Oryzias latipes: one gene and its partners. The protein of the gene in region 2 purifies or fractionates together with the protein of the main gene of each other region. This does not show direct contact. Links are inferred from orthologs where the notes say so. Each region holds a gene or a part of one and is shown on either strand. Other genes may lie near its edges. The genes, in order: polr3f, polr3h, polr3g, polr2l, crcp, protein POLR1D and polr3k.

The links.
Region 1: the proteins of polr3h (region 2) and polr3f purify together in Homo sapiens (affinity purification with mass spectrometry; 4 studies listed by BioGRID and IntAct, with this or other methods). This does not show direct contact. The link is inferred for Oryzias latipes from reciprocal best matches to the Homo sapiens genes POLR3H and POLR3F.
Region 3: the proteins of polr3h (region 2) and polr3g purify together in Homo sapiens (affinity purification with mass spectrometry; 5 studies listed by BioGRID and IntAct, with this or other methods). This does not show direct contact. The link is inferred for Oryzias latipes from reciprocal best matches to the Homo sapiens genes POLR3H and POLR3G.
Region 4: the proteins of polr3h (region 2) and polr2l purify together in Homo sapiens (affinity purification with mass spectrometry; 4 studies listed by BioGRID and IntAct, with this or other methods). This does not show direct contact. The link is inferred for Oryzias latipes from reciprocal best matches to the Homo sapiens genes POLR3H and POLR2L.
Region 5: the proteins of polr3h (region 2) and crcp purify together in Homo sapiens (affinity purification with mass spectrometry; 4 studies listed by BioGRID and IntAct, with this or other methods). This does not show direct contact. The link is inferred for Oryzias latipes from reciprocal best matches to the Homo sapiens genes POLR3H and CRCP.
Region 6: the proteins of polr3h (region 2) and protein POLR1D purify together in Homo sapiens (affinity purification with mass spectrometry; 6 studies listed by BioGRID and IntAct, with this or other methods). This does not show direct contact. The link is inferred for Oryzias latipes from reciprocal best matches to the Homo sapiens genes POLR3H and POLR1D.
Region 7: the proteins of polr3h (region 2) and polr3k purify together in Homo sapiens (affinity purification with mass spectrometry; 3 studies listed by BioGRID and IntAct, with this or other methods). This does not show direct contact. The link is inferred for Oryzias latipes from reciprocal best matches to the Homo sapiens genes POLR3H and POLR3K.

Annotation. Positions count from the first base shown.
Region 1 is NC_019859.2:414,638-418,617, forward strand, and holds the start of polr3f (DNA-directed RNA polymerase III subunit RPC6), read right to left. Parts: upstream 2,801-3,980; 5' UTR 2,704-2,800; coding exon 2,642-2,703; intron 1,770-2,641; coding exon 1,652-1,769; intron 1,577-1,651; coding exon 1,509-1,576; intron 1,445-1,508; coding exon 1,377-1,444; intron 1,310-1,376; coding exon 1,197-1,309; intron 1,121-1,196; coding exon 977-1,120; intron 443-976; coding exon 335-442; intron 266-334; coding exon 74-265; intron 1-73. UniProt on the Homo sapiens protein: DNA-dependent RNA polymerase catalyzes the transcription of DNA into RNA using the four ribonucleoside triphosphates as substrates.
Region 2 is NC_019866.2:19,484,386-19,488,055, reverse strand, and holds the end of polr3h (DNA-directed RNA polymerase III subunit RPC8), read right to left. Parts: intron 2,931-3,670; coding exon 2,834-2,930; intron 2,651-2,833; coding exon 2,564-2,650; intron 2,465-2,563; coding exon 2,401-2,464; intron 2,268-2,400; coding exon 2,033-2,267; intron 1,219-2,032; coding exon 1,168-1,218; 3' UTR 501-1,167; downstream 1-500.
Region 3 is NC_019867.2:16,255,786-16,260,082, forward strand, and holds the start of polr3g (DNA-directed RNA polymerase III subunit RPC7), read right to left. Parts: upstream 2,801-4,297; 5' UTR 2,551-2,800; intron 2,421-2,550; 5' UTR 2,400-2,420; coding exon 2,289-2,399; intron 1,984-2,288; coding exon 1,854-1,983; intron 1,310-1,853; coding exon 1,244-1,309; intron 1,167-1,243; coding exon 1,107-1,166; intron 1,029-1,106; coding exon 964-1,028; intron 326-963; coding exon 215-325; intron 135-214; coding exon 45-134; 3' UTR 1-44. Other genes in the region: mblac2 (metallo-beta-lactamase domain-containing protein 2), read left to right, coding at 3,086-3,527. UniProt on the Homo sapiens protein: DNA-dependent RNA polymerase catalyzes the transcription of DNA into RNA using the four ribonucleoside triphosphates as substrates.
Region 4 is NC_019861.2:18,860,753-18,863,948, forward strand, and holds polr2l (DNA-directed RNA polymerases I, II, and III subunit RPABC5), read right to left. Parts: upstream 1,728-3,196; 5' UTR 1,596-1,727; intron 1,155-1,595; exon of another isoform or gene 1,137-1,154; 5' UTR 1,128-1,136; coding exon 1,033-1,127; intron 752-1,032; coding exon 640-751; 3' UTR 501-639; downstream 1-500. UniProt on the Homo sapiens protein: DNA-dependent RNA polymerase catalyzes the transcription of DNA into RNA using the four ribonucleoside triphosphates as substrates.
Region 5 is NC_019872.2:8,449,030-8,453,216, reverse strand, and holds the start of crcp (DNA-directed RNA polymerase III subunit RPC9), read left to right. Parts: upstream 1-1,387; 5' UTR 1,388-1,463; coding exon 1,464-1,471; intron 1,472-2,584; coding exon 2,585-2,621; intron 2,622-2,719; coding exon 2,720-2,818; intron 2,819-2,891; coding exon 2,892-2,986; intron 2,987-3,116; coding exon 3,117-3,174; intron 3,175-4,187. Other genes in the region: protein FAM111A, read left to right, coding at 1-527. UniProt on the Homo sapiens protein: DNA-dependent RNA polymerase catalyzes the transcription of DNA into RNA using the four ribonucleoside triphosphates as substrates.
Region 6 is NC_019878.2:17,475,455-17,479,444, reverse strand, and holds the start of protein POLR1D, read left to right. Parts: upstream 1-1,190; 5' UTR 1,191-1,248; exon of another isoform or gene 1,249-1,309; 5' UTR 1,310-1,329; coding exon 1,330-1,355; intron 1,356-1,804; coding exon 1,805-1,879; intron 1,880-3,264; coding exon 3,265-3,604; 3' UTR 3,605-3,990.
Region 7 is NC_019866.2:8,138,713-8,141,709, reverse strand, and holds polr3k (DNA-directed RNA polymerase III subunit RPC10), read right to left. Parts: upstream 1,677-2,997; 5' UTR 1,571-1,676; coding exon 1,460-1,570; intron 1,365-1,459; coding exon 1,277-1,364; intron 741-1,276; coding exon 613-740; 3' UTR 501-612; downstream 1-500. Other genes in the region: snrnp25 (U11/U12 small nuclear ribonucleoprotein 25 kDa protein), read left to right, coding at 2,045-2,257, 2,877-2,967. UniProt on the Homo sapiens protein: Core component of RNA polymerase III (Pol III) which synthesizes small non-coding RNAs using the four ribonucleoside triphosphates as substrates. Can mediate Pol I proofreading of the nascent RNA transcript.

The DNA of each region.
Region 1 (3,980 bases), on a different chromosome or scaffold from region 2:
GAGAGATTGGGGGGGGGGGGGGGGTGAGTGCCGCAGCCGGAGCGGCAGCAGGGGGCGTCGGAGCGCGGCTTACCGGGCACAGGCCGCAGGGCGTCTTCACCAGGCCCGCCGGCGGCAGCACGGCGTTCACGCCGCGGTACAGCTTCATCTGTCCGTCCACGCTGCCCACCGTCCCCTCCTTGGCGGCGATCACGGTCATCTCCACCTTCCCGTCGTAGATCAGCGTGTTCAGGATGGTCTCGATGTCGTCCATGGACAGGTCCACCTGCACACGGGACACCTGTGAGAACAGCTGCAGCTGTTGGGAGGGGCTGTGAGGTCACGGCGGGGCCACCTTGCTGATGCCCAACTCGCTGATGTACTTCCAGACTTCGTGAGACGTGGCGAAGGAGCTGTTCCTCTGAACCATGGGGCTCTGCTGGCCGCCCCGCGCCGCCTCCGCCTGCACACAGGGGTGAGTGGGGGTGAGGGGTGGGCCCCTCAGCCTGGTGCTACGTTCACACACGTGATGCGCGTTGAAGACCACAGAACCTTTGCTCGCCTACGGCGTTCATTCTGGACTGTGGCTACCCGGCGCCGTCTCCTGCGGTTGGACGACTCGGTGGGAAACGTCCAAATCTGGTGAGTCTTTTGTTCACAGCTCGATTCTGATCCATCATAGACTTGGCGTCGACACAAACCGCAGTTATTACTTTGTCCTTTCTGATCAAGTTTCAGTCGTTGGTACTTCTGCTTTGACGCCATCATACGTCGCAACCAACTCAGAGTCCCTGATTGGTCAAAGTTCAACTGGTTTCACGTTCAATGGCGGCGCTTTTTGTAGAGTTTGGAGGCGGAAGCGTAGACGCGTTCCCGTAGACTTTGGACTCAAAGCGGTCCCTTGAACGCGTTTCCCGGTGTAAACGTAGCTCTACAGCTGACCTCTGACCTTTGTGACCCATTGGTTTGGTGTTCCGTACATTTGGGTTCTCCATACCTTGCTCTGCAGGAACTTGAAGCACTGCTGGTTCAGAACCTCCACGAACTCGGACTCAAAGTCCTGGTCGCTGTACCAGGCCCCTCCGGTGACGGAGCGGTCCGGCTGCACGTTGTACAGCATGTAGACCTTCTTCTTGGACGCCTGCGTGGCAGACGAGCAGAGTTCAGGACTGCCGGCGGCCACAAGCACGTCTGGACCGGCTCGGTTCTGAACTCACGGCCACAGATTTGACGGCTTTGATGAGCTTCTTGCTCTCCAGGTTCTTCAGGATCTTGTTGATCTCGGTCAGAGGGAGGTTGCTCTTGAAGCGGATGTCTCTGCTCCAGATTCCTGCGAACAGAACATCTGGGAGGTTCTGACCCGCGGTACCTTCTGGAAGGAGGCAGACAGAGCTCACCTTTGTTTCCGGCATCCTCGATGATCTGGTAAACCAGCTTCTCCTGGTTGTCCGAGCCCTTCATCTTACTGAAACAGAGGATTGGGGTTCACGGTGGACAGAACCAGAACCTGCAGATGGAACGCTGCTCACCTGGCTGTCTGAGAATCTTTTAATCTGTACAGAAGACCAGAACTGTTCCTGAGCAAGTCCAGCTGGCCCTGGAACAAACACCAGGTTACGTTAGAACCCCTCTGCGCTGAAGAATGGATTGGGTTGTTCAGAACCGGACTAACCAGGGACAGCAGCTTGTTGATGGCCAGGGCCCTCTGCTGCGGCTCCAGGTGAGGCATGTCGTTCTGGATCACCTGGTCTGTGATTCCCTGAGGGAACTGCTGACACAGCTCTCTGATCCTGGAGACACACAGGCGTTCAGAGCTGAAGTTCCTGGATCAGAACCACAAGGTCCAGTCGCTCCAAAGATCAGACATCCCATAATAAACCCTGTGTCAGCTTGGGTCTCATCTCCAGTTGGAACAAAAAGGAACATCTTCAGATGGACCTCTCCAAGACGGAGGTTCTAGTGTTTCTGGTCCGTTCAGAACGTCACGTTGGATCTTCAGAAATGGTCCAAAGACCGCCTGAACTCTAGAATCCGTCTGACCCATCCGCGTGTTCTCTGAACAACATCCAGAACATCCAACAGCTGCAGCGATAGTCCTCGGACCTGGACCTTCAAACCAGGACTCGGATCTAAAACCTTCATACCGGGACTCGGTTCTAAAGTCTGCAGAACTGAACTCGGTTCTAAAGTCTTCAGACCTGGACTCGGATCTAAAACCTTCATACCGGGACTCAGTTCTGAAGTCTTCAGACCTGGATGGACTCGGTTCCTTTAGTCTTTAGACCTGAACTCACGGGACTCGAGTCCGAGTCCAGTTATGAAGACATTAGACCCGAGTGACTCGAGTCTAATGTCTTCAGACCTGCACTCGGTTCTGAAGTCTTCGGAGGTTTACTCAGATCTAAAACCTTCAGAACTGGACTCGGTTCTAAAACCACCTGAGCGTGAGCTGAGTCGGTCTCCCGATTCGAACCTCTGGAACCAGACAAAGTGGTTTCGGTCTTAGAAGCCTGCTGAGGTTCGGTTTAGAGTAGCCTCCGGAACCAGAACCGTTTCTGAACTTAAGACACGCGCGCATGAAACAAGCCAAGGAGCTGCTCGTAGATGAAATGCACGCGCTTCGGTCATGGACCGGCACGCGGCAGAATCGTGAGGTCCGAACCTGGTCTCCACCTCTGCAGGTTCCGCCAGGTTCGTCTCTTTCTTTACCCGAACCTCCGCCATCTCCCCGGTCCGCTGCTGCCGGTGACGCCGCTTCTTCTTCTGGGGGAACCACGGAGACCGGAGCGTTACCGCCCCCCAGCGGCGGGAGAGGCTCGGTCCTGTGTGACGTCATCAGAGCACGTGATGTCCGTTCACGTTTTTTTTTGTTTTTTTTTAATTTTGTTTATTTGAACTTTAAACATACACATAATAACAACATACAAAAAAGAGAGAAAAAGAAAATAAGTAAATAAATAAAACAAAATATATAGAATTATAGTTTACAACACTAGGGATTGTCATACAGCATGTGATCTTCAATGAAAACACACAGTTTTATTGCATTTTTGTTTTTCATCAATGTCAGAGATTTAAAATATAAACTGATTTCTTTAAGAAATGTATTAAATAATGGTTTCGTTTTTACAAATCTGCACTTGTGAATGAAAAATTTCCCAGATATTAATAAGGTATTGAATGTCAAATCAAATAGATTATCACCAGAAACTACTCCAAATAATATAATGTGCTTTTGTAAGTGAATAGAAATAGGAAAGGGAAACTTTGAAGAGCACCAAAAAAAGAAATCCTCCCAAAAACTGTAAACATACATACATTCAAAAAACAAATGATCAAGTGTTTCAATATTTATATCACAAAAAGAACAGTTATTCTCTGGAAAACCTAAACGTATGTGTAACAGTTCTTTGCATGGATAGACTGCATTCATTATTTTAAAATGGATTTCTTTGTATTTTGGGAAAATTGGATATTTAATGAACTGAGACCTCAACTTGCTTATTTCCTCTCTTGTGTAAAGCTGTGACATAGAATGATTTATGTCTAATGTTGGAAACAGGACGGCTCTAACAAATAAAGATCGTATAAATGAGTTTGGAAGTTTTGAATTAACCGGTCGACCATCAAACAACAGAGAGGGAAGCTGAACTTGATCATCATGAACCAGACTGGAGGACATTTGGACCAAAGTCTGAGGCTTTGATCACATTATTATATTATTTTCTATCATTTAATTTAAATTTACTGGAAAAAGTTTCAAATGAGATAATGTTTCCATTGTCATTCATAATATGTATTAATGACCAAATACTGTCATCAATCCAATGTTTGTAAAATATTGATTTGTTCCTACATAAAATATCCCAACAGTTCCATATGGAGTATTGTGTGAACTACAGTTATGTTTGTAGAGGAGTTTCCATACAGTAACAGCTGCTGATGATGAGTAGAAAGTTTAATAGGAAGTTTTCTGTAATCAAAATCACATTTTAGAAGCA
Region 2 (3,670 bases):
TCATCCAGGCTACTGCCTCCCGGGTGCGGTTCGGCTGCAGCTCACTGCTCCCCCAGGGGATGGGTCAAATGCGGAGAACAAATTTCCCATTGTGGGATAAATACAGTATAACTCTTGAACTCTTCTCTCCAAGCTCCTTCCTTATTGTAATTTGGTTCGTCTTAGTCTTGTCTCTGGTGAACAATCTTCTCCCTGGTGTCCTTTGACAGCTCTGTGGTCTTGGTGGAGACATTGGAGTCTGACTGTTTAAGGGTGGACAGGTGTCTTTTACACTGACAACCAGTTAAAACAGTAACCAATATTGCAAGAAACGAGTGGAAGCTAGAACTTACAGATCCACTCCATTCAAAATTGTGTTTTTGGTGTTTTGAAAATGTTCTTGTGACATTTTTCTCATTATAGACATAAAGAAAATTAAGATTAAAAGTGCCTTACTGAGTATTTCTATATTCAAATTGTGGTGAATCAGGAGCAGATGAAAAAATGCCACACTTTTATAATAGATTAAAATAGATCCAAACATTTATTGGAGTGGGACTTTATAACAGGTCTATGAAGAACAGAATTCTTGCTTGATTGTAGGAGCTAAATTTGTATTTTTTCACTAATAACTAAATAAATTCTTTAAAAATCAAATGATCTGATTTCCTGGAATATTTTTAACATTCTGCCTCTCAAATATGATGAACATTAGACCCTTCTCATCTTTTTAAGTGACACATCTTGCAGAATTGCTTACAGAAATACCTGTTCTCCCGCCATAGCAGAGAAAAATACGACTGATAAACTCACAAGAGAAAGTCAAGTAGTTTGTTTTTCAATTCAGAATATGTACACGGACTTTCAGAAAGCACAGAAGACCATTGCTTATTTACCTTAAATGATGAGGCATTTGAATAAAATCCTCTTTAACAAAAAATAATGAACTATTTCCTCATAGTTTTAAGAAACTCTCACAGGAAATGTATCAAACATAAATTGCCATTCAACACATCACAGTGAGTTGTACATGTAAACATGAAACTGGTATCGGCTGCTTTCACACTGACGATCTCAATTCATCTGTACTCCTGTAACAAAACTATAGAGTTCTTCATGCTGGTTTTTTGTTCCTGCTGACTGAGCAGCAGGTCTCGGGTGATGAGGGACAAACCATCCTCTGTAGTGCTAATTGTTCCACCATGACAGCAGTCCCAGCCCTGGCTCACAGATGGTGCCCTGAAATAGAAACACAGAAATATAAAATAAAGATGTAATACAAATTTATCACTAATAAGAACAAAAATGAAATTCTTATGACAAATTTTGTTTTTTACATGATTTTGCACTTAGTTTTTGATATGCATTATTAAGGTTTTGATCCCAGAAAGCATTTTAAGACTGTAAATGTATGTAACTGCTTTATTGCATTTACACAATCAAACATTTACATTTAAATATTTAGCTTTTTTTCTATTAAAGATTATAGGCTTCTTATAATTGAGACCATTGTGGGGTTAAGGGTCTCGTCCAAGAAGAGAACCCCAACTACCCAAATAGCAGACTGTCACCTTTTAGGACTCACATGACTGTTTAAAAAAATAAAAAGATCCCACTTTCCATTTATTATAAAACTATCTATCCCTCTTAAAAGTACAGAAATACCCTGAGCCTGTTTAGGGAAAAAAAACAAAGAACAGCTCCTGGTGTTGGATTAAGATGTGCACTTTTTATATTTTGCATATTTCAGAATACTTTGAGATGCAACAGAGTGAAGACTGACAGCCAGGCAAACATCAGTCTCAAACTTCACAAATGCTACAGCTGAACAGTCAAAAACTTCAATAAACCTTCCTAAAACTGTGGAAAGTCTTCCAAAAAAAGAGCTGAAGCTCCTACTGTTGCAGAGGATCTGATGGCATCATAATAATTCCTCTAGATTATGAATGGAGTGTCACTAAGGTACAAACATATGTAATGGCAAAGGAGCTAAAAAGTTTTGACGATAGGTGTATTTGCAAAAACGCTTTTTTATGGCATTATGAACTCTTACTATCAGTGTGTACGGCGCTTCTTTCTTCTCTGTGCTCTCCTCTGCAGGTGCTGCTGTGGACTGTCCCGGCTGTGCTGCATTATCAGGCGTAGCAGCAGCTGGACCTGTTGGAGACGTGTCCACAAAGACCTCGTCTGTTACCCGAAACCGGATCTCCTCCCCTTGGTCCATGTAGAGGTCATGAGCCCCTTCATCGGTCTCATACTCCCAGAGCCAAACCTGCTCAGCCTCATCACTGGAGTTTCAGATTAGGAAAGTTCACCTTAAACTGTATAACACTTAGTATCAATAGGATTCCTCAAATGCATCATATTTACGCAGCAAACACAGTCTAATAAAGCAGAGTCAGTAATTGTAAGGTTGGATACAACTTTGCAGGCTGCTGCAGAGACTCTGGTGGAATGAGGATGTCATCAAAGAAGCCCATCGTCACTGTAAAGCAGAGAGACCATAGTTAGACAAGCAAACAATATTTCCACATGTGTGTGAACACATCTGTGTCAGCTGTGTTAAAGAAAACATGATACTTACCATGAACTCCCTCCTGACTGCAGTACTTGATTTTCCCAACAAGGATCTCCTCAAGGAACGGGTGAAAAACAACAAACCTGAAATGAACTGACAACAAAGGTGAGAATGTCAGCAGAAATAGGATTTAGATCTTTAATGTGTGTTTTTTTAAATCTATGTGTTAAAAGAAAATACTGAAAGATTGAAGGACTGTGAGCTGGTTTGACTGACGTCAATATGATTAACTGAAGGTATTCAGAGACTGTCACAGTAATACTGTTGCTGTCATACCTTTGGTGTGTGAAGCGCCATCGCCTGGGAAAATATAGGAGTCCTCCAGTTTAGTAATGTCATACAGACAAATGCAGAGACCCACGTTGAAAACCACCTAAGACAAAAAAGAAGCATTATAGAATAAATGTGTGATATTTGTCATCAATATTGCAATGACAATATGACTTTTGACGAATGAACATAAAGCAAAACAGAAAACTACTACATAATTTCCATTTCACTGCATCAGATTTATTTCAATAAAAATCAAAATAACTTCAATTATACAGCAAATGACCCTTGTCTACAAAGGAGGCGGGAATCTAAGATTAAAGGGGTCCATCCAATTGGTCAAATGCATTAAGGGATCTATTTACATTTAAGATAACCACTCATCATAATTTACACTGTCTTCAGTGCACATATTGCACAGGCTGATATCACGATGACAATAACTTGCAATTTCTTGTGTAGGCTACAAATAAATTGGATATCAATCTGCCATAATAGAGCAGTTACATAGTATCATGATTAGGTGTTTGCTTATTCTGATTTCGTTTTGGGCCATTTGACTAAATAAAATGTGTTAGATCAACAAACTAGTAAAATATGAGACAGAAAACACAAGTTAACCCAACATGAAGTTTTCAACTAAAGGTGTATTATTAAAATCATAATGTCAATCCTACATGGGCAGGTGTGAAAAAGTTCCTATAGTTTCCATATGCGGTTTGTTTCATCTTTGGAAAGATGCTATTTCGTCAAGACCAAGTAGGTTTAGACTCCTCCCCTTTCCCCTGTAAAAACCCTTTACTTTAAATTTGATAGAAAACTTGAAAGATTTAACTGAGTCAA
Region 3 (4,297 bases), on a different chromosome or scaffold from region 2:
ACAGACATTTCATATGCAACTGTCAAAGCCATGCAAAATGGGCTTCAGTAGGTTGCTTCCCCATCCATGTTATCGTCACTTTCAGCAGCAAAATCTTCACCGTTGTCAAAATAGCTTTCAATGTAGTCATTTTCCTGAGGAGCAACAAGCAGATAAAACATTAGTTGCATCAAATAAGACCAATGCAGATTTTCCACTATTCCTGGGACCAAACCTCTTCTATGTCTTCTTCGAGTTCTTCCTCTTCGATTTCTTCATCGTCCTCTGCTTTCTTCTCAGTTTCCTCATCTGACTTCTCAGGATTTTCATCTTTCTTGGCCAATTCCTGAGCAGATTTTTTGGGGTGGGATTCAAACTAAATGGTAGGCTTTCTTCCCATTTAAAAAAAAGTCTACATTTTCACAGCAGTTCTCTTTGTTCTGCTTGGCAGTATGGTTTGGGCCAATGTGTTTAAAGCCGATCAGTTAAGGAAGAAATGTTCAAGTCTGAACAGTTTCCTTTTTAAATAGATTTAAGCCCATCAGACACTAAAGATGGGTCTGTCAAGATCATTCAAGAGTCAAACTGTTTTTAAACTTGATGTAATTTGATCAGTTTCAGAAAGGGACATGCGATTTTTACTTTTTTTACCAATTCAAAATCAGAAGCACCAGTACAATAAGCGTTTTTCAGTCTAATGTTGGTATTAAAAAAACAGGTAAAATTGTGCCTTATATTTTACACAGATGTAGACTTCTGCAAAATCTTGCTAAAACTTCGTACAACCATAATCTTTTTTCACATGGCTTTAAACTATTCTGTCCTTATGGCAGTTTCCAAACTAGATTTTTTTATTTTAAAGGCATGTGCCTACTAACTTCAGCACCGAATGACAGCGCCTAAAGACATCCTTGTACAAAGTTCAATTAAGAAAAAAAAACATTTAAATAGTCTAAAAAAGCTAAAGAAGGAAGATAGGCTTACATCCAGTTTACTGAGCACATTGGCTTTATCTTCCTTCAACTTCTTCACAGTTTTAGTCTTGGTGCCTGAAGCAAAAAACACTTTTTAAATAAATAAAAAACACGCATTCAACATTTCCTGCATGCAATGTGACTTTAATTTACCTTTCTTAATTCTACGTTTTTTACTTTGGGGCATCAGTTCTTTGGGAAAAAGGTTCCAGTCTGAAATGTGTGACACGATGTTTGCATTACTTTACATGACACCTTTTGAAAAAAAAATTTCCATCTAAAGCAATTACCTGGAGTCCATTCCTCACTGTTAATCTGGGCTTGTTTCAAGTATCTTTCAGTGTATTTCTCCACCTCTGTTTCATGTAAACAGAACAACAGAGTACATTTGAAAAAAGTATCAGATCAGTGAGAATTTTTTTACTAAACATAAAAGATAAAAAACAAATGAAAGTTAATCTCTGGAATCAATTCATTGCTACAGCAAAAATAAATTTATTGTTTAGACATTTATGCATTGTACCAAATTATTTGTTCATAAATGAATCTTAAAAAGTATTTTCTAATGATCAAAAGTCTGGAACCTGGATTAGAAATTGTCTTTTTTTTAACAGGTGACTTAAATTAAATGTACTCCTTTAAGTTTTTTCTTGGGTTTATGTCATAGACCAAAGAAAATTAAAGATGTTTAAAATATCTGTAATGATGGACCCCTAAAAAAACAACAACAATTGAAAACTTCATAATGAGGCATAAGCAGTAACTATAGAATCTCATTTCTCTTATGTATAACACTCATAAAATGTCTGATTTCCCAAAAGCAGCAGTTATCTCCACTTCCAGCAGCCCAGAATTATCTTGACGTAGAAATCTCTCATATGTCAGCACTCTCCCCCCTACCCGTTTTGCTGGAGCAAGCTTTAATGTTGTGTGGTAGCCTCTGCATTGCTCCTCTTAATTCCTGTTTTAACGCCAGCATGTAGTCTTCCTCTTCACCTCCTTTGAGTGGAACCGGTTTAAATTCAGTAGTCTAAATAAGGGCAAATGATGCAAGATATTTATTACAGTGACACGTTTCTTGTTTATCTGAAAATTGGTGTAATCCAAGCAGGCAGTCATTCTCAGAAAGTGTCCATAAACCAAGTGTTTGACACAAAATAGATTACATCATAGTTTGCTTTCTGAGCACATTTTACAAAGTACTGAGACTACACAGGGAGAGTACACTAAAAGCCCTACGTTGATGACACATGCCAATTTATTTTACTTAAATAAAACTTGAATTTTTGCTAATTAAACCTTCCATCTTTCCGTGTTTGTGTGGCATTTACTTACTGGAAACAGTGGACTGGGCCCCACCCTGGCTTCTGGCATGTTGCCTCTGCCAATGCCCAGAGCATCAATGTTGAAGGTAAACGCAGCCACCCCGCGGCCTTTGCCTGCCATGGCTGCGCCCCTGACCACGACCTGCAACACACGGTTCATCCTCAGGCAAGCACCGTCATTGACAAGCACGTGCTTGCCGGTATTGCACCATTGAGTCCGCTATGAGAAATGACAATTTTTCCCTGATATATATTTTTTCATAAATACTTACAGGAGGCCTGCTGGTAAAACTCTCCTTTTATGGAGACGTGAGATAAAAAAATAAAGTTTTATAACTATAAATGACACGTGTTTCCCAATGAAATCTTATTGAATTTGATTTATTTGTTAAAGCTAAACGGTCCGAGTTTGTGGCTTAGCGGTTTAGCTTACATTTAGGCGAAAAAGATAAGTAAATAAACCTATCGCTTCTTTCTATGGTTTTTTTGTGGAACCGGCTGGGAAACGCATGTGTAACCAATAGACTAGTCAGCGTGAGCAGATGCTTTCCCCTCTCCGCCCCTGCTTACGTCCCAATAGGGCGTTTCTTATTTTCGTCCAATCGCTGCCGCGTTCACATCTACCGTCATTTCTCACTTCGACCAATGGGCTGGCTGCTTTCAAACAAGGGTGTGTGCGGCCACCATCATTACAGCTTCAATGAAACCACACTGCTCCTAGCTACGAGGCTACTAACACTGTTGTGCTAATTCAGCCGACGGCGCGTCTCCCTTCCGAAGCTTACCTCGACATTTGCATGTCCTGGGATGTCTGCAGCCGACTGGTACGCCCACAAGTCGCTCGGAGACGGACTATTCTGGATCCAGGAGCGGTTTTATCAATCGGACAACCGGGCCAACATCTGGTTGCTCCGCGGTTCGCATCAGGACGTGGTGATAGACACCGGCCTGGGGCTGAGGAGCTTACCTGACTACATCGACTCCAAGGGGCTGCTGGGAAAAGACCCGCAGAGGAAGAACCCGCTGCTGGCCATCGCCACTCACGCCCACTTCGACCACTCGGGGGGTCTGCATCAGTTCCAACAGGTGGGCGTCCACAGCGCAGAGGTCGATGCGCTGGCCAACGGAGACAACTTCGAGACGGTCACCTGGTTGAGCGACAGGGAGATAGCCGAGCGCCCCAGTCCAGGGTGGAGAGCAAGGAACTACAAAGTCAAGGCTGTTCAGCCCACGCACATACTGCAAGAGGGTAGGCAGGGCATCTGTCAGCACACATGTGGTGCTTGGTGCTAGTGGGGGCTAAATCTGGGGTCAAACCTACAACTTAAAAACTTCATTCAGTGTATTAGAGTTTCAAAATCCTTCTCATTCTCAAACCAAATTTCTGCAAAACGAAATTAACAGATGGCCCAGTGACAAGCCAGACACAAGAAACCAGACTTTCAAATATTTGCACATGGGTGAGGTTGGGATACTGTGTGGTCCTCACCATTGTCTTGGCTCTCTTCCTGCAAAGCTGATCTATTTTTAAGTCACCATGCTGATGACTTTGGCAGATTCTGTTACTTTCAGGAATGAGTGTGTAGGTTTTTCTCACACACACAGCAAAGCACTGGGATATTTATCACCCACCATCCTGTCTGTGAATAAGTATATTCTGGACATAAGCATTTTCTAAACCAGGGCTCCTCATTCCTGGTACTCGAGATTTATCGCCCTGCCTGTTTTCCATCTCTCCCTGCACTGCTTGCTGCTGACTACCTGGAGCAGGTGTGTTCATTCAATCAGAATGTGGAGACATCTGATTGAGCTAATCATCCGCTAGCAGGACTTGGAGATCTGGAAAACCGTCAGGGTGGTAGATCTCGAGGATCAGGAATGAACAGCCCTGTCTAACCCTTGTGCTATCCTATGGGGTCAAGATGGCCATTGACGTGTTCTCCCTACCGTGGATAAAGATGGAGAGGATTTCATGTAATCCATGGAAACCAGTGAAGATCACAAATCATTAAAGAAAAA
Region 4 (3,196 bases), on a different chromosome or scaffold from region 2:
TTTAATTGTTGGTAACAAAGTGGCATTGTAATTTGCTGAAAACCTTCTGCACATTCACTATAACTCTTCAAGAGTTAAAGTTCCAACCGCCATGACGATGTTTTGTTCTTGCTTCCCCAGATTGGAGGCAGAGGAGCATTGTTGCGTCGAGTTGTATATAAAAGAATCAAGGATTGTTTGTTCAATCTGAGAACACGGTTTTGTTCTTCCTTTATATAATAGGACTTGTTTTAACAAAAATTGGCTGTAGATTTTTTCTTGTAAAATAAGACTTTGTTTGCATGCACCATAACAATTCTTTCTGTAATCATTGTAATTTCACATTTCTTTTGGTAGAAAATCTACAATTAAAAAAAATCCCAAAGTATTCTCGTCTTATGTGCTCTGCTGTTGAATAGTATAACATTATTTGTTTGCATGTTTTCATAAGTACATAAAGTGAAAGGTTGAGCGATTTAACTCAACGCCTCAAAAATTAGATGGCATCTCAACTCAGTGAATCGAATACTTTAAAGAAAAAACTTTATTTAAATAAAATTTTCATTGCCACATATGTGCACAATACACCAAGTCATTATTGTTGACATTTCTTAAACACTGAATATATGCACAGGCCATGTTCAAAGCATGTTCTTCCAGCTAAAATTTTTCCAGCGGTGCATAATTTAACAATTTCTCAATAAGATCCACATGGGAAAGCAGCATCCTCCGACAGCAGTACCTCTTCAGGCCCAGGGCATCAAGAGCATCACTAGAAAAGGGAAGATGGAAAAGTAATTTTAGTGCCAGATATTGCTTGCATAATTACAGAAAAAAAAAAAAAAAACATTTCTATAGTTAGTTTTAAATGTTGTATCCTCAAATGGTCTGAATTCAAACTAACATCTTGACTGACAGTGAAACAGGAGGAGTAGAGGTTGAATGAAGGCCTTTATTTAGTTTCAGAAAACTTGACCATATAGCATTACGGTGACACATTGTTGAACGAACGAAACATGAAGGTAAAATGAAAATGAAGCGCATCTGTCTCACCCTTCAGTGTATTCGGCCTGAAGAAGACCAAGGTAGGCTTCCCATTTGTTCCCCACGATCTTCCCACAAGTGAAACACCTCACCGGGATAATCATTTCTGGATGCTTGAAGAAGGAGCCAAACTAAGATATTCAATCCACAATAAATAATATAATCAACAATCAAATCAATAATAAAAAAAAATTAAATAAACAAAAACATGCCAATATGAATATGGTCATATCTGAGAAAGGGTAATTATGTTACACATGTTCCTACAACATAATTCCGCTTATGATGCTAGCAAATACTTCTAAAGGAAGGTACCAACACGTTGTTTAGGAACGTCGTAACTAAAATGAACGCAAATATCTTGCGCTACAATTTCTGTAAACGATATAATATAATTAAGTAACTTGTGTTTAAATTACTGAGATTTAAAAAACAAAAAGAAAGGCCAACGCTAGCCGCGTACATGCAGCTAGCCTAGCAGCACGCCGTCGTTCACATGCTTCCCAAACTCGGGTACAAATGAAATAAAAATATTAGTAACATTACGTTAAAAAAGGAAGTTGTTAACTCACCTTTATTGGTCAAGTTTGTCCAACACTTAAACAGCGTTATTTGTAATAATAGTAGAGACAAAGTTTAACCGTTGACGATATAAACATCACAGCTCAAATAACCATTTCCGGTGTAATACAGAGCTTCCGGATGTGATCCTACAAAATAAAACTAATTTAAATAAACCACTAAATTTAGGTAAACAATGCTGTTGAGTTTAACTGCTGTGTGTTCATTTTCTGTATGTAAAACACAACTTTAGGATTTAACAAAAAAATTATTTTATCGCGTAAAAGTATTTGTTACAAAAACTGACGCGTACGATTTGCATTTTTACTATATATATATATATATATATATATATATATATATATATATATATATATATATATATATATATATATATATATTTTTTTTTTTTTAAAGAAGGTAGCACATTGTCTAAATACAACCTGCATCGGCCCTCAAATATTGAGAAATCTGTTCCTCAAACCAAAATAAAATCACATCTCTCTGGGTGGGTCTGTAATAATACCAGTTAATCCCAGACGACATATGTGTCCAATGATTAAATGCTTTAATTTAAATCACCTACACATTCATGTTCTATGATAAGGAAACAACTACATTTATATGGTATATGTATTCACCAACATTTGTCTATATGCAAATATTACTTTTTGTTATTTGAGGATTTCTCTGCAATAATTTAGAAAACATTCTAATGTTGCCACAGTCATGTGAGTAAAATAAAATAAAAAATCCTTATTTGGGAATTGGCATAAAATGCAAATCCCAAAAAAATCCTCTTTTTCTAATCTTGACTGTAGATCTACAGCTTTCATTTTCAAGTTTAAATATTTTCATTTGGATAGCTTATTAGCCAATACTTTCTGTGAAACTGTTGCTGTTTATTAACTAATCTTTAACTGTCTTTCCTTATTTTCATTTGCAGAAAAAAAAAGTTGTGAACATAAATCAAATGTAAATCTGATCTAAGCCTTAGTCTCATCTAGATTTCTCAACATACCAGTATTCAAAAGTACCGGTACCCAATTCCTTTTTTATATTTGTTGGCAGTCCATGTTAAAACTCTCTTGAACTTACAAGATTCATTCATTCATTCATTTTCTTAACCGTTTTTCCCTTTCGGGGTCACGGGGCTGCCGGAGCCTATCTCGACCACTTGTGGACAGGTCGCCAGTCTGTCACAGGGTAGAACTTACAAGATCATAAATTTAACTGAAACTCACATTTCTACTAATATAATTGCTTTGATAATTCTTGTGCATTTAAAAAAATAATTCAGACTGGTTCACTTCTTTTATTGAGGCTGAAGTTTAAACTCTTCCTTTTTTACATTTAGACATTTGGGGACAAAAGCCGGGCTGCATTATGAAAATCAGTTAAAATATAGAATAATAAAATATCCTTCGTATCATTCTAACAGACACAATGATAACTATCATCATCATTGGCATCATGTATTGTCACCAACATCGCCATCGTCAACACCAAACATTATTACATCATCTATGCAATTTAACTTGCTACAGCACATGTGCTAAATGAATAGTCCTACCTGAATTATTGCATTTATACGCTGTTAAAATTATGAAAA
Region 5 (4,187 bases), on a different chromosome or scaffold from region 2:
GTGGAATCAGCATTATCGGGCATCCTCAGGGAGGTGTGAAAAAGATCGACCCCTGTTTGATTGTTCCACACAGCCAGGTTGTTGATAGGGTTCCCCTGATAACCAAGTATTTCTTTGCTGATAAACTTTTGAAATACGAATCTAGTTTTTTCGAAGGCTCCTCTGGCTCTCCTGTTTTTGACAACCACTGCAATGTGGTTGCAATGCATTCAGGAGGATTCACCTACGACAAAGAAGGGATGGAAAGACGGGCTGTTGTTGAATATGCCCAACCTCTGCATTTCATTTTGGAAGATTTTATTATCCAAATGGTGGAGGGAAAAAAGTTTGACGTTTTGAGAGAATATCTTGATTGCAGCTACACTCGAGGCACCGCCGTCAAAGACGGTGTCAAAAAAATAGTTGAGAGCAGAAATAACCAACGGTTCAAAGAAGCTGCAAGGAGCTGTGTGGATGACAAAGTTGTACAAACATTCCTTGAGTTTTTCTGCCAAACTGAGGAACCTGTCCCAATGGAGGTTGTTTAGGTCTCATCATCTCATTTTATAGTTATCCTGGGCTTGACTGCAGTAAAACAAAGAAATTCCAGCAGTGAAAAGCAAAAATTAAACGAAAGCTTTAAACTCAGCTTTAATAAAAGTTAAAGCTTTAATTTCTGCACTTATTGTTTACTTTATTGTTGCTCCAAGCAATTCACATGCACCTGTTTAATATAATTATGTGATTTTTCTGTCCCAGAAACATTTTTAACCATCACTCTCCAGTTCAGAGAAAAAATAATGCTGGAAAAAATCTGTTCACTCTTGTATATTTTACTTGTATGGATGTCCAATTCTTACATTTCAGTCTTGACTCATTCCTGTATCAAGTTCTTGAAAAGAAATGCCAACAAAAGGTTTCCTTTTTTTGGTTGTTTTATTATGTTTTGGGATTTATTTGTTTTTTCAAATATAGATTACTCATTACTCAGTGCAGTAGCATAAAATTCATTGTACTTTTTCTGTTTTTGTTTTTAAAAAGCAAAAAGTGTTCAATACTGTGTGCTTCAAATCATGACTAATGAAACTGTATTAAAATCTGATAAAAGTGACTTCTAGTGTATTCCTTTTTTGTTCCCTTACCCTAACAGTAAATGTTAAATGTTTAATATGTTTAAAATAACCCTCGATGTGTTCAGGGTGTACTTCACCTTCTCCCTGATGCTGCTGCATGAGGCTCTGGAAGTCCTTGTTAATTTCATTGAACTGTTTGGTGAAGGGGCTTTCGAATTTACACTTTTTGAGATACTCTTACATTGTTTTTCATTTTCAAACATCTCGGCAGTGTTTCACTTTTTTAAATATTTATTCTGTTTTCTCTGATCCCACGTTCTATGTAAAAATGCGTTTTTTGCTAGGCGGAACCAATATACTCCCCTATTTTCTACACGAACCCCTTTATTGTAACGGAACCTAAGAGTCGACATGGAAGTGTAAGATTTTTTTTTTAAGAACAAAACAACGGCTAATAAGTCTTTTATGTATATTTACATGTACAATTTTAATTGTGATCGATGGTAGTTTCGTGCGTGTTTCAGTTTCGGGTTTATTATGTGATGTTTTGCTTGTTCCGTTGGGATGATGCTGTCGGCCAAAAAATGGAGAGATGATGATCGACACACAAAACAACTGAATTAAAACATATTGAGTCCGGGAGACTTTGATCCATTTTGAAGAGTTTGCAGTCTACAAATGTTTTAAATTGTATTATGTTTGGGGACGAAGTTAGAGACGGGACAAAAGGTCGCGAAATCGTTTATAAACGTAAATTTCAGAAGATGGGAGAAACAAAAAGCACGGGTCGGATTAGTTTGAGTTTGTGTTATCAAATATTTGTTTCAAATCATGAAACATTCCATTTACAAACACATTCTGCGTTGGCTCTTCAATAATAAATGAATTAGTTATGACATGATGAAGCAGCTAAAAAACATTTTGTCATCTAATATAAGCCAACTCAGCCGCACTCCACAACATTTGTCAACTTGTCACTTGAGCTCTGATCTAATTCATATTTGCCTGAAATCACAAACTTAATTTTTCTAAATAACATTGAAGCAAAGAAATATGGGAAACAGGTTTGAATTTAAACAGTATTCTGTCTTGTTTTTCATTAGATTTATTTATATTTATCAAAAGTTTGCTTTTTTTAATTGTATTTCTTTTCTTCTTCAAACTTGAAAAACAAAAACATTTGCTAATATCTATTTCAGTAAGTTTCAACGGCTTTAAAATAATCTAATTGATGGGTTTCTAGTTTTTAAAAAGGGAAAACACAAAAAAAAATTATTGCTGTTCATTAAAGAGAAGATCTGAGGTTCCGATTAAGAAAATTTCGTTATATAAATAAAAATCAAGTAGAGAAATCCAGCCGTTCTTTTAGTAACACAAGGATGTGAAGATCAAATCACAGAAGAAAAATGTTTACTAAATATATAAACTACATGGGAAATATTCCAATCTTATAAAGCTTGTTTTGGTAACAGATATTTTAATTATCTCATAATTTAATGTTTAACAATTGTTATTTGGGTTTTTTTACACAGAAAAAATGCAAACGCGGCCATGCTCAGTAACTATGAGGTGAGACTATAAGACTGTCTATTAAGGGTTTTTGTTGATTTTCCTGCCTGGTAATGAAATTAATTATTCAGAAAAGCTAAATAATGTCTTCGTCTCAGGTATTCAAACTTCTCACCGACCTGAAAGAACAGAGGAAAGATGCTGGAAAAAGCAAACATAGCCTCGGGCAACAGGACCTCAACACCATCATGTATGAAGTGGGTACTATTCATACTGTCTGAGCTTTAGTTGTCAAATCCAGTCCATGTTCTCACCTGCATTTGCTTTCAGACTCTAAAGTATTTGTCAAAGACGCCATGCAGCAGACAGAGTCCTGAAATTGTCAGAGAGTTCCTCACCACCATGATGCCTCAGAAGCTGACCAAGTCAGTATCTAAAAGATAATATTTTTCACCCCTCTGGGGCTTCAATTGTAATTTCCGCTTAATAAATGATGTATAGTTTGGGGATAAAAATGTCTCAAAGTTAAAATTTTGCCATCTTTCTCTCTTTAAGGGCAGAAAAACTGCAGCTGTTAAACCAACGGCCTCAGAGTGCAGTGGAAATTCAGCTTGTAAGTATTTTTCATGTCTTTCTAAATGTTTTATCTTTTTTTCCTAAATAATTTACTCATGTATTCCTATGGTAGCTCTGTATAACAAATGAGATCTTTCTCATATTTGTATTTTTGTTAACTCAACCCAAAAAGGCTCAAATCTAACCCAAAACATGCACTTTTTCACATGCATCCATCAGCAACTTCATTTGTTACATGTAGATTGCCCTACAGGTTCTACCACTCTGGTTTTTTCATGCTATTCCTGTCTGCAGGGTTAGTTTGAATGGGCAATTCACAGTAAATCCAGGCTTGAGCCCATTCCTGTAACGCATTAATAATCTATTGAAGCAGCTATTACAAGACAATGTTAACAATACCTTATACAGCAAACCAAAAAGACCCTCATGACCCGTTTAAGCAAAGCCTTATTATTGCTTTAGCTAAGCGTTGAGGTTATGGCTGTGATGGGTTTAGAAATATTTAATCCTTAAAATGGGTACATTGCACTATTTGACTAAAAATCAAGTAGAGAAATCCAGCCGTTCTTTTAGCAAACTGAGTAACACCAGGATGTGGAGTGCAGACTTCTGATGCTGCTTCACTGGGGTGTGGTGTGTCCCGAAAAAATCTTTTTTAGCAACCAATAATTACTCACCTAAAGCCAAGTGTAGAAGGCTCCCTCTATTAAGAAATAATCTGGTTTCATAATGCAACAGCAATTATATATTGTCCTAAATCAGTTATTCTAGAGCAGATTATCTCTTAGAGTACATTTTAAAAAGTGAATTTCCAAAACTATATGGAGCCTCTTAAAGAACTGCACTCCCTGTTTACCATTTGTCTCTCTGCAATCTGTATCCTTTTAAAATAAAAATATTTTTTTCAATACAAAGCAGCTATAAAGCAGTTGTTGCAGTGAACACAAATGAGGCCATTTCCATTAGCATCCACTAACATGCAGTTCTAAAACTCAGCCTGCAGATGTCGCCCTTCTCACTTTTGAGATGCTTTTAACCCTTGTGCTATCT
Region 6 (3,990 bases), on a different chromosome or scaffold from region 2:
TAAGTGAAGGCTTGCAGATGCGTGTGACACGTTCTTAATCCTTCTTGTCTGAGTTCAAAGCTGTACTTGCTCATCTTTTTATATTAGGATACCGGTCCTGCACTTGCTCTCATTTTCCCACAGATTACTATCTAATCTTGGGAGAACTAGGCAGCGGCATGCAGGAGTTTCCTTTTTAGAAGATCAAAAGACTCTATGGCACTCATTTAAAAACTCAGGTGTATCAGGCACCCAGGTATCAGATATTTTACAAAAACCTCATTTGGATGTCTTTCATCCTACAAATACTAAACACACAAAGACAGCACGAGAACTGATGTGAACATTATTATATATTTATTTTTTGCATGCATTAGTAATAATACAAAAACTGAGCCTGCTGTAAATTACATTTTCAATTATTATTGTCAATTTTCTGCATTTACCTTAATAACGCCCCATCTGCAAAGCAATTACTAAAATATATATATATATATATTTTTGATACCATCAATGTTTAGATAAGCCCTCCCCCCATCTCTCAAACCCCCCGTTCACTGTCTGAGTCCAACCCCCCCTAGGAGCGAAAAGGGAGGACAGAAGAGGCGACAATGGTAATAACAGAAAAAGCCAGCATCACACACACTGACGCCGCTTACAGTGAAAGGATGCAGATGTGATGTTACCTCTTCAGGCTGCTCCTCTGCGCCGCGCCCGGGCCTCGAAGAGGGGCGGGGGTGGCGGGACAATTAGCAGCTGCGGGACCTCAGTCACGCAGTCGCCGCAACGGACGGCCCGTTCCGCAAACCTGCACGAAAACGCCCCCGTCACTTTGGTGCCTGGTCCCGCCCACTGCTGTCCGTCAAAGAGACTGGGCGGAGTTTGCCGCTGTCAATCCACAAAAAAAAGAAAAAAAAAGTAGAGGTGGCTTCAATGTCGCCTGCCCAAAAACGTCCATTCAGCGGGAATTAAAATCTTTTAATATGTTTATGATTCCGATATGTTAGAGGTAATAACATAAACGGATAAAGCTTCGGGATCATACAGGGCATGGAATATTTTTTGTTTTTCAATGTGACAATTACAACTATTATTTTAGTAACTAAATTACTTTAGAATAAATGTTTGGGTTCTAAAAACGGCGTGAATTTTACAAAAATGCATTATTTATTTAAAAAAAAATGTTATGGTTTAACAATATAAAACAATGAAATGATCAGGCATCTTTTGGTCATAAAATCAGGTCCTCGAAAGAAGGACCTCGCAGAGGTAAATAAATCCCCTAACATGAGCCTGTAGAAATTTCCTGAAATAATTCTGCGTTTTAAAGTCTTTAGGTGGTCAGGCATAATGGCTGAAGATAATGAATTGGAAAAGTAAGTATTTTTTATTTTTAGATTATCATCGATTAACTTGTTTACGTTTGCTCGGTTAAACTAATACATCGGGGGAATGGTGTCTGGTACCACCAGATTAGGCTAGCATGTTTGCATAATGCATTTCTGTAGCTATGGGGTTATTTTGGTTAGGGGACGGAGTGTATCTTGTGTAGCAGTCAACACACTCTGCCTTTTGGCAATCAACAGCTGTTCTCACTACGTGCTATAAGATCGGCTGAATCAGAGAGAGCCCCCTGCGAGACTAATGCCTCAGCTGGTCGGGTTAAACGGGGACACCGCTGATGTCCCAATTACTTATGATTCACTTCCTCCGCGTCTCCTATTTTCTTCCTCGCTCGCACATAATTATATTAGTCTCCCCTTGAGCTTTTATGTCATCTTGGTCTTCTGTTGTTATCCGCATTTTTCTACGTCTTTTCCTCCAGACGGGCTATAGAGGAACTCCTCAAGGAGACAGACAGAGCCAGGGTGAGAGCTGAGACCATGGGCCCTGCAGGATGGTGAGTTATGGTTCTGAAATGTCATCCCTGACAGCCTCCACATAAAACGCCATGTAAAATCTTACTTCATAGGTTTAGCTGTTTTTTTTGGAGGCTTCTATTATTGTTGTATTTGTGTTTAACTAGTTTTCTATTATAGATAATTCGTCAGGTTCCCAAAGACACTTGTCTCTCTTGGCATCTAAAAGCACACACATATAGACTAAATTTATTATTAATATTTATTTATTGATTGTGTGTCTGTAGTGATTCTATGTCTAAAAAAAACGGTATAACCCTGTGAACTTTCCTGGAATTGAAAATATGCTTTCAGACATTTTTATTTTCTGGGCTGACGCTGATTTATCAAAACTATTTTTTTCTTCTTGATTTATTTCAGATGTGAGAGGTCAAAGCTAATGTTCTGAAGCTGTCATTCACTCGTCATTTAATGCAGTTACAAAAGTCACTTGAAAGGAGGGGACAAAAGGCAAATAAAATTTTTTTTTAAAAGACTGTCCATAATTATAATGTTACCTAACTTAAACTTTTCACATTTTTTTGTCTATCCCAAACATTTACATGACAACGTTCTCTGAAGTCTGCAAGGCTTGTCTTTTGTGTAACAATTACAGTTTGAGTTTTTTCACACTGTGTCGCATTTACAATCATAGATTTATCTTGGTAACCAATATTTGTTGACTGATCTGTATTAATTAGATCGACAAATGTTTGCAAGTATATTGTTGCACAATGATTTCTTTTGCATGAAATTATTTATTGACCTATTCACTTTTTGTGTATTTGATCTGTTTGATGGTTAATGGGTTTCTCTTTGGATCTCCCTTCATTGAGTCTCTTGAAATGATAAGATTTATTTGTGTATGTTTAACAGATCTTAAACAAATTTAGAAGGACTTTATTCTTTTTTGTGGGTTTCTAATGAAGAGGTTTATGTTATTTTGTTTTTTAGGTCTGGTCCAAAAAAACTACAGAATATTAAAAAAAAGTTGGTTTATGTAATTTCCAGAAAACTTGCACCTCTTATCACACTATTTAGTAGTAAATTAAAGAATGACCCAGTATTTTTAAGTGTTAGAAAACATGGAAAAACAGCACAATACCATAATGTTTTATTTTCATGTGGGAACCTAACAAAAAGTGAAATTATACAAAAAGCAGTAAGGTGAGCATCTAACTCCCAACTTAAAGCAAAGTCATGCCCTTAATAGTTGTCCTATAATTTAAATTGTACTCTGGAGACAATTTGTCCTTTAATGGAAACGACTATACATCTGTCAGATATACTGATCAGATAACTGTCGCTTTTCACATTAGACTTTAGATTAAAAAAAAAACCTTAATTCTGAATTTTTAAGTGGTTGTGTTGTCTTCTTCTCTGTCAGGTTGAAATGTCCCCTGCAGAGCACCAACAAACGCTTTCTCCTCAACACTCTGCGCTCTACCGGCCTGCAGCGGCGAAACGATGAGCAGAGAACCGCAGACTCCAAAACAAGAGACCGCCTGACCCACAAGTCCCGTGACAGACGGTGTGACCGCAGCAGAACACCTCCGACAGACCACAGGAGTAATGGACGCCACAAAGACCATAAACATCACACCCGTTCAAACCGAGATAAGGAACTGGACAAAGATAAGAACAAATCTGACAGACACGGGGACAACAGCAGAGACAGGAAGCATGCCGATGGACCAAACGGAGACAGAAAAAGAAGTTCTTCATGAATGAACTTGCTGTGTTTTAAAGGTAGCCTTGATGCTCTACTGAAAAATTAATTGGCTGGAGGAGTATGGCTGACTTGAAATAGTTCTGTAGAGCCCTCTCACCCTCACAGAGACCCAGACAGACTAGAAGGACCTCTGCTGATCACAACGAATTGTACAGTGACAGAATATACAATTTGTATTACAGCTTTTGAATGAATGAATGAAGAGAGTAAAAGGAAATAAATATTTTGTGTTTTCAGGCATGAATAATTGATCCTCTTACAGTTCTAACATGAATCTTTATGCACCAGAACGAAACATCAAATATACTTTTTAGGATATAATCTAAAAATCATATCAAAGCTAATATTTGTTTTATCATGTTCCACTTTGTAAAGGTGGCT
Region 7 (2,997 bases), about 11 Mb from region 2:
ATCATTGCATTGATCACCTAATCTTGACATTTGTCATCTATGACATAAATAAATGCATGTTAGATGAAGCGATAGCCTTGACTGAGCAGTCTTTTCAGATTAAGCTAAAAAAATATCAAAAATACAGTTTTTATTGGATAAACCACTAACAGTGTAAAAGCACTGTTCCGTCACAGCATGTCCGATTTCATTTTTCACCAACGCTTTGGAGGTGCAGAATTTGTCTGCATGAGCTACACATCCAAATAAGTGATTCTCTTTGGCTGGCTCCTAGATTTGTATTTTTTTTTCTCTTCCTTACCTTAAGGATGATTGAGTTGCTCTAGAAATTGCATTTTGAGCTCAAGGATTGCATAGAAAATAAACGTGTGGGAACCAGTGGTATGCATTGCTCTCAATGTCTGCAACAAGATACAAACATCTAAGACAATTGAATTGACTGATGTACACAGGTATTATTTTATCAATAAAAGCTCTGAAATAAAGAATTTGTCCGTTGATTGATTCTGAAAAGCAAATTTTATTTATAAATAATAATGGGTCCAAAACATTCTTTACATGTGCTTTGATTGCCATTTAAACTAGAAATAATGAGTGAATGAAATAAAATGCTCAATCTCTCCATCTGTTTCCACACTGAGCATTACAGCATTTGTAGAAAGTCGTCATTGGTTCATCGGCTGATCTGGTCTGGATCTGCATGAAGTAGGCTCGAGGATGCTCGCATTTGGGACACGTTTCTGTGAAAAAACACAAGCAAACATGCATATATGTACACACATGTTCAGAATTTTAGTTAGTTCTCGGATTGAACTTCTTTCTGTGGCCCACATTCAGGTTGGTACTCGCCATAGCATCACACAGCAACACTGCCTCTAGCAAAAAGTAGTCCATTTAAGTGTACTACAAGTATACTTAGAGTGAGGCAGTGTACTTGAAGTTCAGTCTATATATAGTAAACATAAAATGTCACAATTTAGTCAGAATAAGTGTTAAGTTAATGTACTCCCTACACGTTACATGGTCAGCAGTATATGTGCAATACTTGCATCCAAGTACACTTAATAAAATAAACTTCAAGTGTACTTGCAGCTAAGGGTGACTATTAACACCCTTTAAACACGCAAATGGACTGTTTCAAATAAACTTTAATTTATTCCTATGGAGAACATATTTGTCTTAGTAGTCAAATTAGTTTTTCTTGGCCTTTGTTTTATATTATTCTCTAGTCTATCCATGTTTTTTTTTAATTCTTGGTAACAAACTTGTTTGTTACCTGCAGTAGAATCCACGTTCTCCCACGCTGCAGCTCCACCCAGCACATCATCCACCTCTTTCAGCTTGGGATATTTTCGGTAGTTTACCTACAAATATTGAAAAGTTTGAGATTAAAAACCACCCTAAGAAATGTCGTGTTTGTTTCTCGAGTCAGAGTCAGACAGTGATAAAAGGAGCGTACCTTTCTCGTGACGTTGTGCACATAGGGACAAGTGTTACAAGCGAATCTCAAGCATTTCTGTCCTTCTTCTACGATTAAAACGTTTCCACAAGTAGGACAAAAAAGAAGCATATTACCAGATTATTTAAAGAAAAACTATCTCGGGAAAGATAGTAGCGACTACGAAATTCATTAGCAAGGAGAAGCAAAGCGGAAGCAGTTGCTCCGGTTTTACAGCTCGGTAGGAAACAAAAAAAAAAAAAACGTTTGTTAAAAATGAAATTGTTATTGTTAAAGAATGTATATAAATGTATAAATATATGTATAACATTATAAATAATATAATTATTTTAAAACCCCACCATCCGCCGCATGAAAAAAAGTTCTTACTTTTGATAAGCGGAACTATTTATCATGTTTTGATGATACCACCGGTATAAGGTCTGCGACACACAGCATTAAAATTCACACCAGTCTTGGGATACATTTTTGTAAACAGTATCCTATTATTATTATTTTAAGAATCTTTTGTACTTAATTGAACGCGTCAAAAAAGAGAAAGCGGTTTCATTTTTACTGAATGTATTTATTTTTAACCAATAATAGATGATGGAGCAGGAAACCGACGAAGGAGAGAATCGTTTGCAGGACAGTCACAGTCACAGTGAGGTGAAAGAGGAGAAGCTGGCTGATGAGACAGCTCCAGATGCCGAGGAGGAAGATGAGGAGTCTCTTCCACATTCAGAGATCCTTGATATCTTCGAAGAGGGACTTGCTCGACTTGTGCAGGACCCTTTACTGTGTGATCTGCCGATCCAGGTCATAGAAAAACACCACACTCCGCACACCAGGCAGATGTTTAAAGAAAATTTTCATAAATTGTAAATTTAACACTAAAGTTGAAACGCGTCCTTCTTCCGGTTTGTCTGACGGCATATTTGCATAGCAGAAAATAGCTGCATATATATTCTTGAAAAGCCAAATCGAATCCAATTTCAAAACAATCTTATAGCTCTAATTTATGTTTTCTCTCCTTTTTCTTCTTGAAACTGTTTATACGATTTAAGAATTATATACGAATAGCAATGAAATAAATGTTCTAATCTAGAATTAAGTACCAAACATGCATAATAAAAATAACAAAAACACAGGTTATAATCCATAACATTAGTATTGTCAGTATTGCTCTTGTAACATTGGACTATTATACAATAATCACATTTGTTTTTTTTTAATCTCATTTATTATTAAGCCCAGAAAGAAATCTGTTATTTACAACTGGTTTATCTTTCGTATTTGCAAATTTGTCTTTGAGAAAACATGAAATGTCTGCAGTTATAAAGGATTAACCAAGTCCATTTGACTGATTTTTTTTTTTTTTACCCTCTACTGTGTTAGAAGGATGAGAATCCACAATCTGCAATATTTTTGTGTTCAGGTGACTTTGGAAGAAGTAAACTCCCAGATTGCATTGGAGTATGGGCAAGCAATGACTGTGAAGGTTGTTAAGGCAGATGGGGAAATCATGCGTAAGTTCCAAAGTCTCCCAGCTGATTTGT